Linked DNA regions of Arabidopsis thaliana. The protein of the gene in region 1 interacts with the protein of each later gene in a pairwise test. Each region holds a gene or a part of one and is shown in the gene's direction. Other genes may lie near its edges. The genes, in order: SHY2, AT3G15440 and ABF2.

Region 1 (3,736 bases):
GAAATATTTTGCGTTAACTGCTACTATAGTAAATTCGTGATTGTTACTTAATGGTCTAATTTATCCTTTAAAAAACCAAAACAAATCATTTTTGTGTGATTAGTTGTTGTAGCTAAGACATTGTCATTTTATTTTCAGTATAAGTTACTAAATTCGTTTATATATATAATTAAATTGCAAAGTATGCTACAGTATGACATATAATGAGTGCAGAAAAATAAAAGATGATGCCATAATACTATAGTGAATGAGAAAAGCCTGCGGATATTCATGCCTAATAAAAGTCTTTAACTCCTTATGGATAAGATATATATGGGAATACAAAACATTTAATTTATATTTATTTTTTATCTTACGTTCCACTGACGGATTATAAATAAATTTTTTAGGAAAAACTTTATATTTGTTTGTGTGTGCAAACTTTATATTACATATATTAGTCATCAAATGCTTCTATATATTGTGACCAATTCACAAATAATGATATAAATATATATATATTCCCATCAGTTTTTCTTGGTATAAATACAATTAATTCAATTCAAACTTATGACCTGTTCTGTCAAGAAAACGAATCTAGTAATTTATGACTGAACCAAGAAGAGAATGTTTCTCACCGTACAGAAGAAATCAATGCGTGATGAGTACTGAGTAGCTGTTAGCAGTCACCTCTAATTGTATGAATTTATTTTGTTGAAATATGTTCGTTAATCGTTAGTACTTGTTGAAAGTCACTACGTACGTATATATGTAGATAAAAAAAAAAAAAAAATTCTTTTAGGATTATTGTTACACGTATAATGTAAAGTTATAACATAAGTTCTTAACAACTCTTTGCATAGTACCGATTCGGACTTCGATTTCGAAAGCCATGCATGAGAAAACCAAAAAATGGAGCCAAAACTTAGATCCGGTTCAATTCGAGTAGGTTATGTCAAAGACGTAAACATCTACAATAGGAGCTCCATATAAGTAGAATACAACCAATGCCACGCTGTAACATAAACAAAGACAGCGAGAATCTGTTAAAGATCTCTCAGGTTCCAAAACAAAACTACAAGACCCCATTATGATGTTACTGACATTTAACTAAAGCCTTGTGCTAGTTGATCCTTAAGGAAGATGTCCTGTCGTGATGCTCAGTTTTATTTCAAATTCATATATACGTGTGTGTGTGTGTGTGGTGATCATGATTAATAGGTTAGAGACAGAGAGACAAAAGTTGTGGGCTTTAACAAACCCCAGTAAAGAACAATAAGTAATTTTGTCACGTAGGCTCTGTTTTTGGCTCTTCAACACCCAAAGTACCTGTTTTTTGAAGATGTGAGACATAAATTATTACTTATGATCTCAAGTCAATAAACTCATCAAATCTGAACTACCCACAATCCAAACATTGAACACTAGCTACCTTTACATATAGAGTTAATTAACCATCCATCTATTGAGAAAACGAGTAAAATATGTATTCGGTTGTTGTTCTTGGTAAGAAAAGATTATGAGCTTACGATCCGAAATTTCTTGGTTGTGATAAGTTATTAATGGGAGATAGAGAGAGGTGATATGCCCATATGGCATACCACATGTGGTGGGGGATTCGAAGATTTGATCTGGACCGTCTATCACAAGAAAGAAAGATGAAAATATTTTGTTTTTGGGTTTGGACAGATGGGAGAAAAAGAAAGTGTCCCCACAAATGTCCCCAAGAAGATGGGACACACTTTTGCCTCAAAGTTGCTGTTACTGCTACCGACAAGCTTAGCTTTTTTTCCTTTGTCCTTAATTCAGAAAACAGTTTCTTCTCTCTCTACCAGTATCTATCTTTATTCTCCTTTAACTTGTATAAAACACTCAGCTTCCTCGAAGCCTCTCATCTTCATCATCAGCAGCTTCTCTATATCTCTCCTCTCTTTCAAGGATAATAACCAAAAGCTTTTCTTTTTATCTTCTCCTGCAATTCTTGAAGAAATGGATGAGTTTGTTAACCTCAAGGAAACAGAGCTGAGGCTGGGATTACCGGGAACAGATAATGTATGTGAAGCAAAAGAGAGAGTTTCTTGCTGTAATAACAACAATAAGAGAGTACTATCAACTGATACTGAGAAGGAGATTGAATCATCATCAAGGAAAACTGAAACATCCCCTCCTCGAAAGTAAGTTAAACTCACACAAAAGTCTCTGAATCTGTAGTGGTGGAGAATTCAGTTGATTGACCGTGTTTCTTCCTTTTTGCAGGGCTCAGATTGTTGGATGGCCACCAGTTAGATCTTACAGGAAGAACAACATTCAGAGTAAGAAGAATGAATCTGAGCATGAGGGTCAAGGAATCTATGTGAAAGTAAGTATGGATGGTGCACCATACTTGAGGAAAATAGATCTGAGTTGTTACAAAGGATACTCAGAGTTGCTTAAAGCTTTAGAAGTGATGTTCAAATTCTCTGTGGGAGAGTACTTTGAGAGAGATGGATATAAAGGTTCAGACTTTGTGCCTACTTATGAAGACAAAGATGGTGATTGGATGCTCATTGGTGATGTTCCATGGGAGTAAGTCTTCTTTCATATACCTGTCTGAAAACAATTTCCACAAAATCAAAAATCAGAAACAACAATTTTGTAAGTGTTCTTATGGGTTCTGTTTGTTGTTGCAGGATGTTCATATGTACGTGCAAGAGACTAAGGATCATGAAAGGATCAGAAGCCAAAGGTTTAGGCTGTGGTGTATGAGATATATCTTCAAGAAATCTAACAGAGACACAAAAGAACTTGAAGAAAAATAGAGTTTCTTTTGGTTCAGAGAAATCTCTGTCTGTGCTTGGGTTGTCGGGTTTCTCGGGCAAGATCTATGTTCATTGGATTGAATCCAATTCATAGCCTTTATTTACCTCATCGGTAAAATTCAAATGTAAACATGCTTAATGGTCTTAAGCATATGAAACTGGAACCTAATTACATTTTGTTTCAGAAACAGGGCAAAAGGTTGTCCTTAAATCTTTGGTTATGTGTATTACATTAATTAAAGTGTTATGAAGATTGAAGAGTTGTTTTTATATTTGTAGCAATTCTGTTTTGCGTTCTCATTGATCAAAGAGATTTTCAAGCAATACCCATTTTCTATTTTGGTTCACTAGTTCTTAGATCATATTATTGATGGTCGAGGTTGGATTACTCCCATTAATTAATACAATTCGATCAAAGCCAACATGAACATAAATCAATAGAAACAAAAAAAAAACTTATCTTATATGAGAAATACGTTTTGCCCAAAGCTTAGGGTTCATTTCATCAGCCAAAAACAACAGACACCTACCTCTCTGCTTTCATGGCAACATATATATACGCATTAGATCCAATCAGAAGATGTAAGACTAGACAGGCCGTAGTAATGAGTGAAGCTTTTGGAATTGATGAACTGTGTTACGAGCTTCTTCGTTTTCTCAGACATGGCGGGAGAGACCTTGTTCACGCCTGAAACAGCAAAACGAATAATATATAATCAGCTTGTAAAATGCAGATTCTTTAGTTATAGAGTTTGAAAGATTGATGCAAATGTACCAATAAGACTTTCAACAAAAGTACGAAACAGAATTCCAGGAAAGAGTCGAGAGAAAACTCACCTGTAGCTTCTTCTTCTTAGGCCTTCTCTTCCTCTTGGGTTTGTGAGCATCAGAATTAGAACTCAAGTTGCTACTCTGACTTGTATGCGAACTAGTGGCAGCATGTGAAGACTGGCTTCTTC
Region 2 (3,123 bases), on another chromosome or scaffold:
GACCAAAGTTTCTTTTTTGCTATTGTAAACTTCTAAATTCACAAAATCAACACAGTTTTGTCTTTACCACTGCTTTCTTCCCTCCCTCTTATCTATCAAAGAGTGAGATTGCGAATTTATCACACAGTTGTCTAAGTAAAGACTGCTATGTCACGAAGAAGCAAATCAATTTTATTTCTTTATCGTCTTCATAAGGCTATATTTACATAAACAAGAGTACATAAAAAGAAAACGCAACAAAGAAGCAAGAGTTAACGAAACTAGAAGCAAAATCAACGAGAATTAGCCAGCGCCCAGTTAGCTTCACTTCCTCTTCTAGGGATACTATTGATCTTAGAACAAGCATCAACTTTGAAACTAGCTCCACAAAGAACACCTTCACTATCAATCCTCGGCATTGCCTTCATCATATTAGTCGGATGGTCAAAGCTCTTAAGCCCTGTCTCACTATGAAACATACATCCTGCAATAACAAAAACACAAAACACACATCAAGATCTAAACTCAAAAGTATGTTTCTTTCTTTATAGGGCTAATGAAAAACTTAAGTTTTGGTTTACCATTAGGGAAAGGAGCAAACGATTTAGCACAGCCTTGCTTTATGATCTGAATATCATCAGACATTACAACAGATCCGTCTCCAGAAATTCCCCAGTAAAGACTCTCTCCTCCATCAGAACTCAGAGCTGAGAAAACAGAGGAAGTTTGAGTATCGTAGACAACGAAAGCGAAGCTTCCCTCAAGACCTCTAAGAACTTGATCTGCTGGGTAAGGACCACGATCACGAAGTGTTCGATAAGCTTCGATCACAAACATTGCCTCGTTTGAGTTCTTCCCAGATAAACCGTATTGTCGATTCAATGTACAGAGATTATTCAATCTCCCTAGAAACATACAGTAGATCCCATCTAGTCCACAGAACAACCTGAGCAAAACAACAAAACCATTATGAATCTATGAATTGGATTTAGAGATTTGACTTGTATATATGTGTTTTATGTATATTAGTATATACCTTTGACGAAGAGAGGTTTCTTGGCGAGCGTAAGCTAAGACGGCGGAGTCGCCGAAGTTCATAGAGAAAGCATTGTTTTGGTGATGAGAGAGGAAGTCGGAGAGAGTTTCGCCGGGAAGTTTAGGAGTTTTGCCGGAGAAATGAGAAGCCGGACTGTTGAGTTCTTCCGGTGGGTGAGCAAAAGCTTTCTGAAATATTGCCAACATTTTCGTTTTCTTTGTCTTTGATTAATCCAATGCTTGAAATGTGTTATGTTTTTGTTGAAGACAATGAGGGGTTTTATAAAGGTACGAGATTATTATTACACGAGATGCTGACTTGGATTTTAAGATAAGACTGACATGTCTTACGTGTTCTTATCCGTTTCTTTTTAGACAAAATTATTCTGTAGTTAATCTTTTTTTTTAAAGTGTCTGGTAGGTAAATAAACAAATTGTGAATCCAATGATGATTAGATATTTAATCTGACGAGTAAATCTTTTTGGAATGATATGATTTTTTAAACGTGCCACGATAGAAAAGTAGTATGTTTTTTTTTTGTCATGTTGGAAAAGTGGTAGGATATTTTTTGACAGCGAAATAGTTAAGTGAAATATGATTTTGAATATATGAGATATTTTATTAATACAATCATATAAGATATTTTAAATATCGGAATATCTATTTATGGTTCATCGAACCTTAACGATATGTATGAATGTTAACTTTTGTAGTTATGATCAATCTAATTTAATGAAGAATTCCTATTGTAACTATTTCCTAAAATCTCGTATTCAATCCCAACAATTACTCATTCCTGGTTACAATTTTCCTTTCACACAAATATTTTTTATACACTCTCATAGCTTGAAAAACCTAACTCTCTCTTAACTTCTTTTTTTCCCATCATTGCATAGAGATTATGGAGTGTATTGTGGATGATGTATCGGATAGTACATGTATGGTGACGCCAATCTATTATTCGAAAGAAACAACTCAAGATCGTCAGACTTTTTTGTTTGATTTTGAAGTTGTCTACACAAAAGTGCCTGAGCCAAATAGTGATGGAGAATCTGACTACATGTCCAGTAAGGTTAAAACAAGGACTACAAATCAACTTCAAAGATATGGTCGAGACGAGTTCATTGGTCAAGATGAAGAACAAATCAAAGCCACAATCTACGAAATCCTCAATGATGTTGGTGTTCCTCCGTATCTAGGGATCATGAAAACATTTGCTGAAGAAATTCAAAGCATATTGAATTCACCTCTGGAGAAATTGGAGAAGATAAAAGTAAAGATTGAAGTTGTTGCACACATGTTTCCTGAAGATGATGAGATCGATGTTGAGTGATTTATTATTCTTTTGCATCTTGGTCGTTACAATGATTCCTTCATTTGCTTCTAGGTTGTTTTCAGTTTTTTACTTTTACATTCTATAATGTTCTAAAGACTAAGATATTTTGCTAAGTCTTGAGTGGATCTACTATCACCAAGAGTTAAGGTATTTGTTATTATGTAGTTGAAGTTGTAAAACTTCTTAGATTAATTAACTCATGTCATAATTCTCTGCACTAAGGTGTCTGGAAATATCTTCTATTACTCTCACAACTTGAAGAAATCAAACAGATACAAATCAATACAAGATACACTAACCGGTAAATCCAATCTCAATCCGGTTCATACAAACATGGTTGTTTATCTATACCTTGGATCAACAAAGCCGGCTACGAGAACGGCCACAATGGAGAAAGATTTCGGTAGGTTCTAAGCAGCCACGGAGTGAGTCGTGACCAAGCTGAGCTCTTTCGTTATCTCCAAACCCAAAAATGCGACCACGTTGAGTGACCACAATGGTGTGATACAAACCGGTGCTAACTTGAGAGACACGGTGTGGTTTCAGACACTCCAATACTCTTGGCCTAAGAACTTTGTCTGAAACTCCTCTGTCCGGGAACCCAAGGCTTCCAAACCCCATCCACCCAAATCCATATAGTAATCCACCTTCCACCAAAACAAAAGTCTTCCTTTTTCTTGCACACACCTGCAAGTAAAAGCAGAGTCATGATCAGGGCTGACTAACTGATCCTAAACGGAGCAAAACTCCATACAAACAAAGGCCAACACAT
Region 3 (5,212 bases), about 16 Mb from region 1:
AGATATGAGGAATTAGAACCATCACAAGTCTTTAATATGTTCATTATCTTGAAATCTTTAGCGTTTATATGATGATATCTGTTACATTGAACTTATGTGCAGAGGTAGAGAGAACCAGTACACACTTGTGAGCAGGGCTTTAATATTCTATTAGCAACCAGTTAAAACCATTTTTTGTGTGCAAAGCAACCAGTTAAAACATAAGTATATATAATTTTGTGTTAAGAGAATATTCTTAAAGAATTTTTCCAAGCAAATTCAAAACTTATTAAACTATATGCTAGAGTCAATGATGTACTTTAGCAGAAAAAAAAAAAACACTACTATAATTAGTGAATTGAGAGTATTATTGTCCTTGTATTTAATTTTTAAACGTAAAAAATAATAAGATGGGTTTGATAATGTGAAGGTGAGCCCAACTAAAAACTAGAGACGTGGACCAATGGAAAAAAAGTAAGAAGACTCTTTGGTTTCTGACATCTTCCCCCACAAAACACAAAGTCGATGTGAAAGCAAATAATAGTGTTCGTCCACGTTACATCGACAATCAACGGCTGAGATTTGGTTTCATTATGTGTCTGTCTCATCGAGGTTGGTTCGTGTTTTTGTTTTTGTTGGTTGTGACAGTAATGGAGCGACACGTTATTTCGTTACAACTACTTTTTTCTTTTTTAAAACTTTTGTAATCAGAGGACTAAAGAAGTAAGTGGACCGATCATAAATAACAAACTCAGGTGATTGATTATTGGACCTTTGTCACTTCAGGATGGAGAAGCGTTTTCAATTCACCGGTGAAATAAAATATTAGCTGATTTTTTTAAAAAGAATTAAGGTTTTGAATGGATATTGTGGATAAATCGGATTAAAATTTGGAATTATACCAATATTTTCTTTTTTAACGAACATTTTGATTGGTAAACTTTAATCCATTTTGATATGTAAACTTTCTGAGAAGTTTTAGGACTATACCCATATATAATACCAATTTTTTATGTAAGAACTATATGAATTATTTTGTATATAGAGTTTTTTTTTCTTTTTGTTTTGTATATACCACTACAAATTATAATTTTGTGAATGATAAATAAGAAGTTGTCTAATCTACAAACCCATTTTGTTCTCCAACCACCGCAACCATGTGTACCTAAACAAATAAATATTAATTGGTTAATTAGCACAATTGTTAGAGTGAAATTATTATCTCGAATCCGATATAAAGAATTTGTCACTATTCTTTCCAAAATTTCCGATATTCAAAGTGTTGAGATCAATAGTAAAAATTTGAATCCGTCCAAATTGATTTAAATACAATTTTAAAGTTTACATACCCAAAAATCATTTGGTTTCTCTCAAAATATTTAAATATTTAGATATTACTTGGAAATCTGGGTAGTAACAATTTGGATTTGTCCAAGCAACATTTGGATCTAGATATCATAATTTCCAAGTCAACATATCCAAATTCGCCAGATATAATATTAATATATATATATATATATGTAAAATACAATATTTTCATTTCTTTTCTAGTATATAATACTTTATTTTCATAAACATAATCCAATCTTAATTTTACAATTTTAAAGACGTTTTAACATTTTAATTTATTGTGTAGATACAATGATTTTTGGACGGAATTCCAAAGTGAAAACAACTTATTTTAGGAACCTAAAGTAAATTAAAACAACATAAATCCTGAAAAGGAAAACAATTAGTAAGTGAAATTAGTAAAATAAAAACGAAGAGGGAAAGTGACGCAAAATACAAAGATACAGAGTATATACCATTTTATTAAAATAATTAGCAAAAGTAGTATTTATTCAAGATTGTTAGGAGCCAGAGAGACACTTGGCTCACCAGACAAACTACCTAATCACCCAAACGAAGAACCAAACATTTTGAAATTTTTTGGGAAAATTACAAAGCACACGAATTTAGCAAAAAGGTAATAGATTTTTCTTCTCTTTGTGTGTATAGAAGAAACTGTGGTTTTTGTTCATCTTCTTTTAATTCTTTCGATTTATGTCCACACTTAATTTTTGGATAAAATTACTAATTGTGCCTAATACTTGTCATAAACGCATTCATATTCTCCTGTTGGTTTAATCTGTTTTTATCCATTTGACTATTAAAGTTTTGAAATCTGTTAGTGTTTTTGAATTGGGTTTTGCAGATTTCTTGATTTTTATTTATAGATTAGGGTTCTGATACTAAAGTTTGGATTTTTAAACTAAAGTTTGGATTTTTTTTTGTATTCATGGTTCAGATCCAGTTATTAGGTGGAAGCAGATTTTGTAGAAAAATGGATGGTAGTATGAATTTGGGGAATGAGCCACCAGGAGATGGTGGTGGAGGTGGAGGGTTGACTAGACAAGGTTCGATATACTCGTTGACGTTTGATGAGTTTCAGAGCAGTGTAGGGAAAGATTTTGGGTCAATGAACATGGATGAGTTGTTAAAGAATATATGGAGTGCTGAAGAAACACAAGCCATGGCTAGTGGTGTGGTTCCAGTTCTTGGTGGAGGTCAAGAGGGTTTGCAGCTGCAGAGGCAAGGCTCGTTGACTCTGCCTCGAACGCTTAGTCAGAAGACGGTTGATCAAGTTTGGAAAGATCTATCCAAAGTTGGAAGTAGTGGAGTAGGGGGAAGTAACTTGTCTCAGGTGGCTCAGGCTCAGAGTCAGAGTCAGAGTCAGAGGCAGCAAACATTAGGTGAAGTAACTTTGGAGGAGTTTTTGGTTCGTGCTGGTGTTGTGAGAGAGGAAGCTCAGGTTGCTGCAAGAGCTCAGATTGCTGAGAACAATAAAGGCGGTTACTTTGGTAATGATGCCAACACAGGTTTCTCTGTCGAGTTTCAGCAGCCTTCTCCACGAGTTGTTGCCGCTGGTGTAATGGGAAATCTTGGTGCAGAGACTGCAAATTCTTTGCAGGTTCAAGGTTCTAGTTTGCCTCTGAATGTGAATGGAGCTAGAACAACATACCAGCAATCGCAACAGCAACAGCCAATCATGCCTAAGCAGCCTGGTTTTGGTTATGGAACACAAATGGGTCAGCTTAATAGTCCTGGGATAAGAGGTGGTGGTCTTGTGGGACTTGGAGATCAGTCTTTAACGAACAATGTGGGCTTTGTCCAAGGTGCTTCTGCTGCAATTCCTGGAGCTTTAGGCGTTGGTGCTGTGTCGCCTGTTACGCCATTGTCATCAGAAGGGATAGGGAAGAGTAATGGTGATTCTTCATCACTCTCTCCGTCTCCTTACATGTTTAATGGTGGTGTGAGAGGTAGAAAGAGTGGCACTGTGGAGAAAGTTGTAGAGAGAAGGCAAAGGAGAATGATAAAGAACCGAGAATCAGCTGCAAGGTCCCGGGCCAGGAAACAGGTTAATCTCTTCATCACCATCTATCTATGTACTCTTGATTGTGTTATAAGCCAAAAGATATGTAAAGTAAATTGGTTAGCTTATCTTGTAGTTAAGTTCTTTAACCACAATGAAGCGTTGAATTCAAAGCGTAAAGTGTCTTGTGTGAAGTAGTGTAGTAAACAACTAAACAGAATTATTGGGACTTGAAATCAGTACTTGTGGCTGAATGAATCTCGCAAACAAATATGAACCTTCTGGTTTTGGTGTATATACATGTTGCCCATCCGCAGATATTCACGGCAGACCAAACAATATACTGGAATGTAATTTGCTAATGTCATGAGGTGGCTCAGAGTTTAAATGAGTAGTGAGGGTTCATCGTCAAAACCTGAGTAGTGGCGACATGGTTTTTCTTTTGGGGCAAGGTAATGGGTAATTGGTGCTCCCAAAAACCTGTTACATCTGACATGTACTATGACCAAACTGTTGAGTTCTACATTTGAGGGTCTAAATGTTTTGAATGGCACTCTAGTCTTTATCTCATAAGCTTCTCAGTCGTGCTTGTTTTGGTTCATAGGCTTACACCGTGGAGCTTGAAGCTGAAGTTGCAAAGTTAAAGGAAGAGAATGACGAGTTACAACGAAAGCAGGTAATCACAAAACCATGTCTCAGCATCACAGTTGCTCATACGTTACATTCATTTCTCATTGTACGCCTCATGTTTTACAGGCAAGGATCATGGAAATGCAAAAGAATCAGGTAATAATTCTTATGCCAATGCAACAACACTGGAATCTCTAAACTGCACATTTCATAGCTGAACTTGTAAACTTGGTTGTTTGTTTCCGTGCTATGTATAAAACAGGAGACGGAGATGAGGAATCTTCTGCAAGGAGGTCCAAAGAAAAAGCTGAGGAGGACAGAGTCGGGACCTTGGTGAATCAATCAATGCCATCATACTTAGTTTCTGTAGATAAATGACATCCCACTTAGGTGTTTTAGTTGAATTAGACTTAATAGAGAAGAGCTTTCATCGTTTATATTGTAAGCTCTCTCCATATATGTTATGTTTTTTACATACACAGGATCATCAGAATCTCTTTTGCTTTATTTAGACCAAGAATTTTGTGTGTGTTTCTCGTTGTTGTTTGTCGTTGTCGCTATTAAACCTCAAAATGTACTTTCTTGATCTTGGAGTTACCAATTTTGAAGAATTGAAGTGTTGTTTGGTTTCTCTGAGTGCCAAAACTATGACCTGTGCCAACACAGCATTCTAGCCTTCTAGGCAAGCGACTATAACCCAAACCGAACCGAACCTTGGTCATTTCGGACGGATGAGGTAACCGAGTCGGTTTGATGTGGTTCACTGAACCGACAGTTACACAAAGTAAACATTTGTACTGAAATTTATGTATGTATCAAAGTAAAATTCCTCTAAATTCGATAACCAAACCAAACGGGATTAATCATTTGCATGGAGAATAAATACATAACCGAACCAATTTAACCGATGACCGAATCGAACCAAAACCGACTTATTCGGTTTGATTTTTTAGTTACTAAAAATGAAAGTGTTCACTCTCATTCTCTCCCACTTCGTCGCTCAAATTCTCCCTAATTTCACCTGCAAAACCCTAGTTTTTCGTTGATTCGTTTCGTCTCCGGTGTAAAATCAAATACTATCTTTAGGTATTTCGTCTTACCCAACTCTATCTTTCCATGTTTTCCGAGGACAAAATAAAAGGTTAATTATTCATGACTAACGTCTGTAATGGGTTTTATTGTGATGTATGTTTGAAATTTGGAACATTTCGATATAGCATTGTGTTACTAATGCTTTTGAATTTGTTAGAA

The links.
Region 2: the proteins of SHY2 (region 1) and AT3G15440 interact in a two-hybrid assay, tested with the Arabidopsis thaliana proteins (one study listed by BioGRID).
Region 3: the proteins of SHY2 (region 1) and ABF2 interact in a two-hybrid assay, tested with the Arabidopsis thaliana proteins (one study listed by BioGRID).

Annotation. Positions count from the first base shown.
Region 1 is NC_003070.9:1,127,552-1,131,287, reverse strand, and holds SHY2 (AUX/IAA transcriptional regulator family protein), read left to right. Parts: upstream 1-1,598; 5' UTR 1,599-1,668; coding exon 1,669-2,153; intron 2,154-2,235; coding exon 2,236-2,544; exon of another isoform or gene 2,545-2,648; coding exon 2,649-2,724; 3' UTR 2,725-3,139; downstream 3,140-3,736. Other genes in the region: AT1G04230 (rRNA-processing EFG1-like protein (DUF2361)), read right to left, coding at 3,460-3,465, 3,615-3,736. UniProt on the Arabidopsis thaliana protein: Aux/IAA proteins are short-lived transcriptional factors that function as repressors of early auxin response genes at low auxin concentrations.
Region 2 is NC_003074.8:5,211,148-5,214,270, reverse strand, and holds AT3G15440 (RING/U-box protein), read left to right. Parts: upstream 1-1,764; 5' UTR 1,765-1,916; coding exon 1,917-2,348; 3' UTR 2,349-2,476; downstream 2,477-3,123. Other genes in the region: AT3G15450 (aluminum induced protein with YGL and LRDR motifs), read right to left, coding at 273-463, 561-925, 1,016-1,221; AT3G15430 (Regulator of chromosome condensation (RCC1) family protein), read right to left, coding at 2,709-3,038.
Region 3 is NC_003070.9:17,164,506-17,169,717, reverse strand, and holds ABF2 (abscisic acid responsive elements-binding factor 2), read left to right. Parts: upstream 1-1,828; 5' UTR 1,829-1,945; intron 1,946-1,976; exon of another isoform or gene 1,977-2,236; 5' UTR 2,237-2,257; coding exon 2,258-3,376; coding exon of another isoform or gene 3,377-3,529; exon of another isoform or gene 3,530-3,648; coding exon of another isoform or gene 3,649-3,693; exon of another isoform or gene 3,694-3,935; coding exon 3,936-4,007; intron 4,008-4,087; coding exon 4,088-4,117; intron 4,118-4,223; coding exon 4,224-4,298; 3' UTR 4,299-4,560; downstream 4,561-5,212. UniProt on the Arabidopsis thaliana protein: Involved in ABA and stress responses and acts as a positive component of glucose signal transduction. Functions as a transcriptional activator in the ABA-inducible expression of rd29B.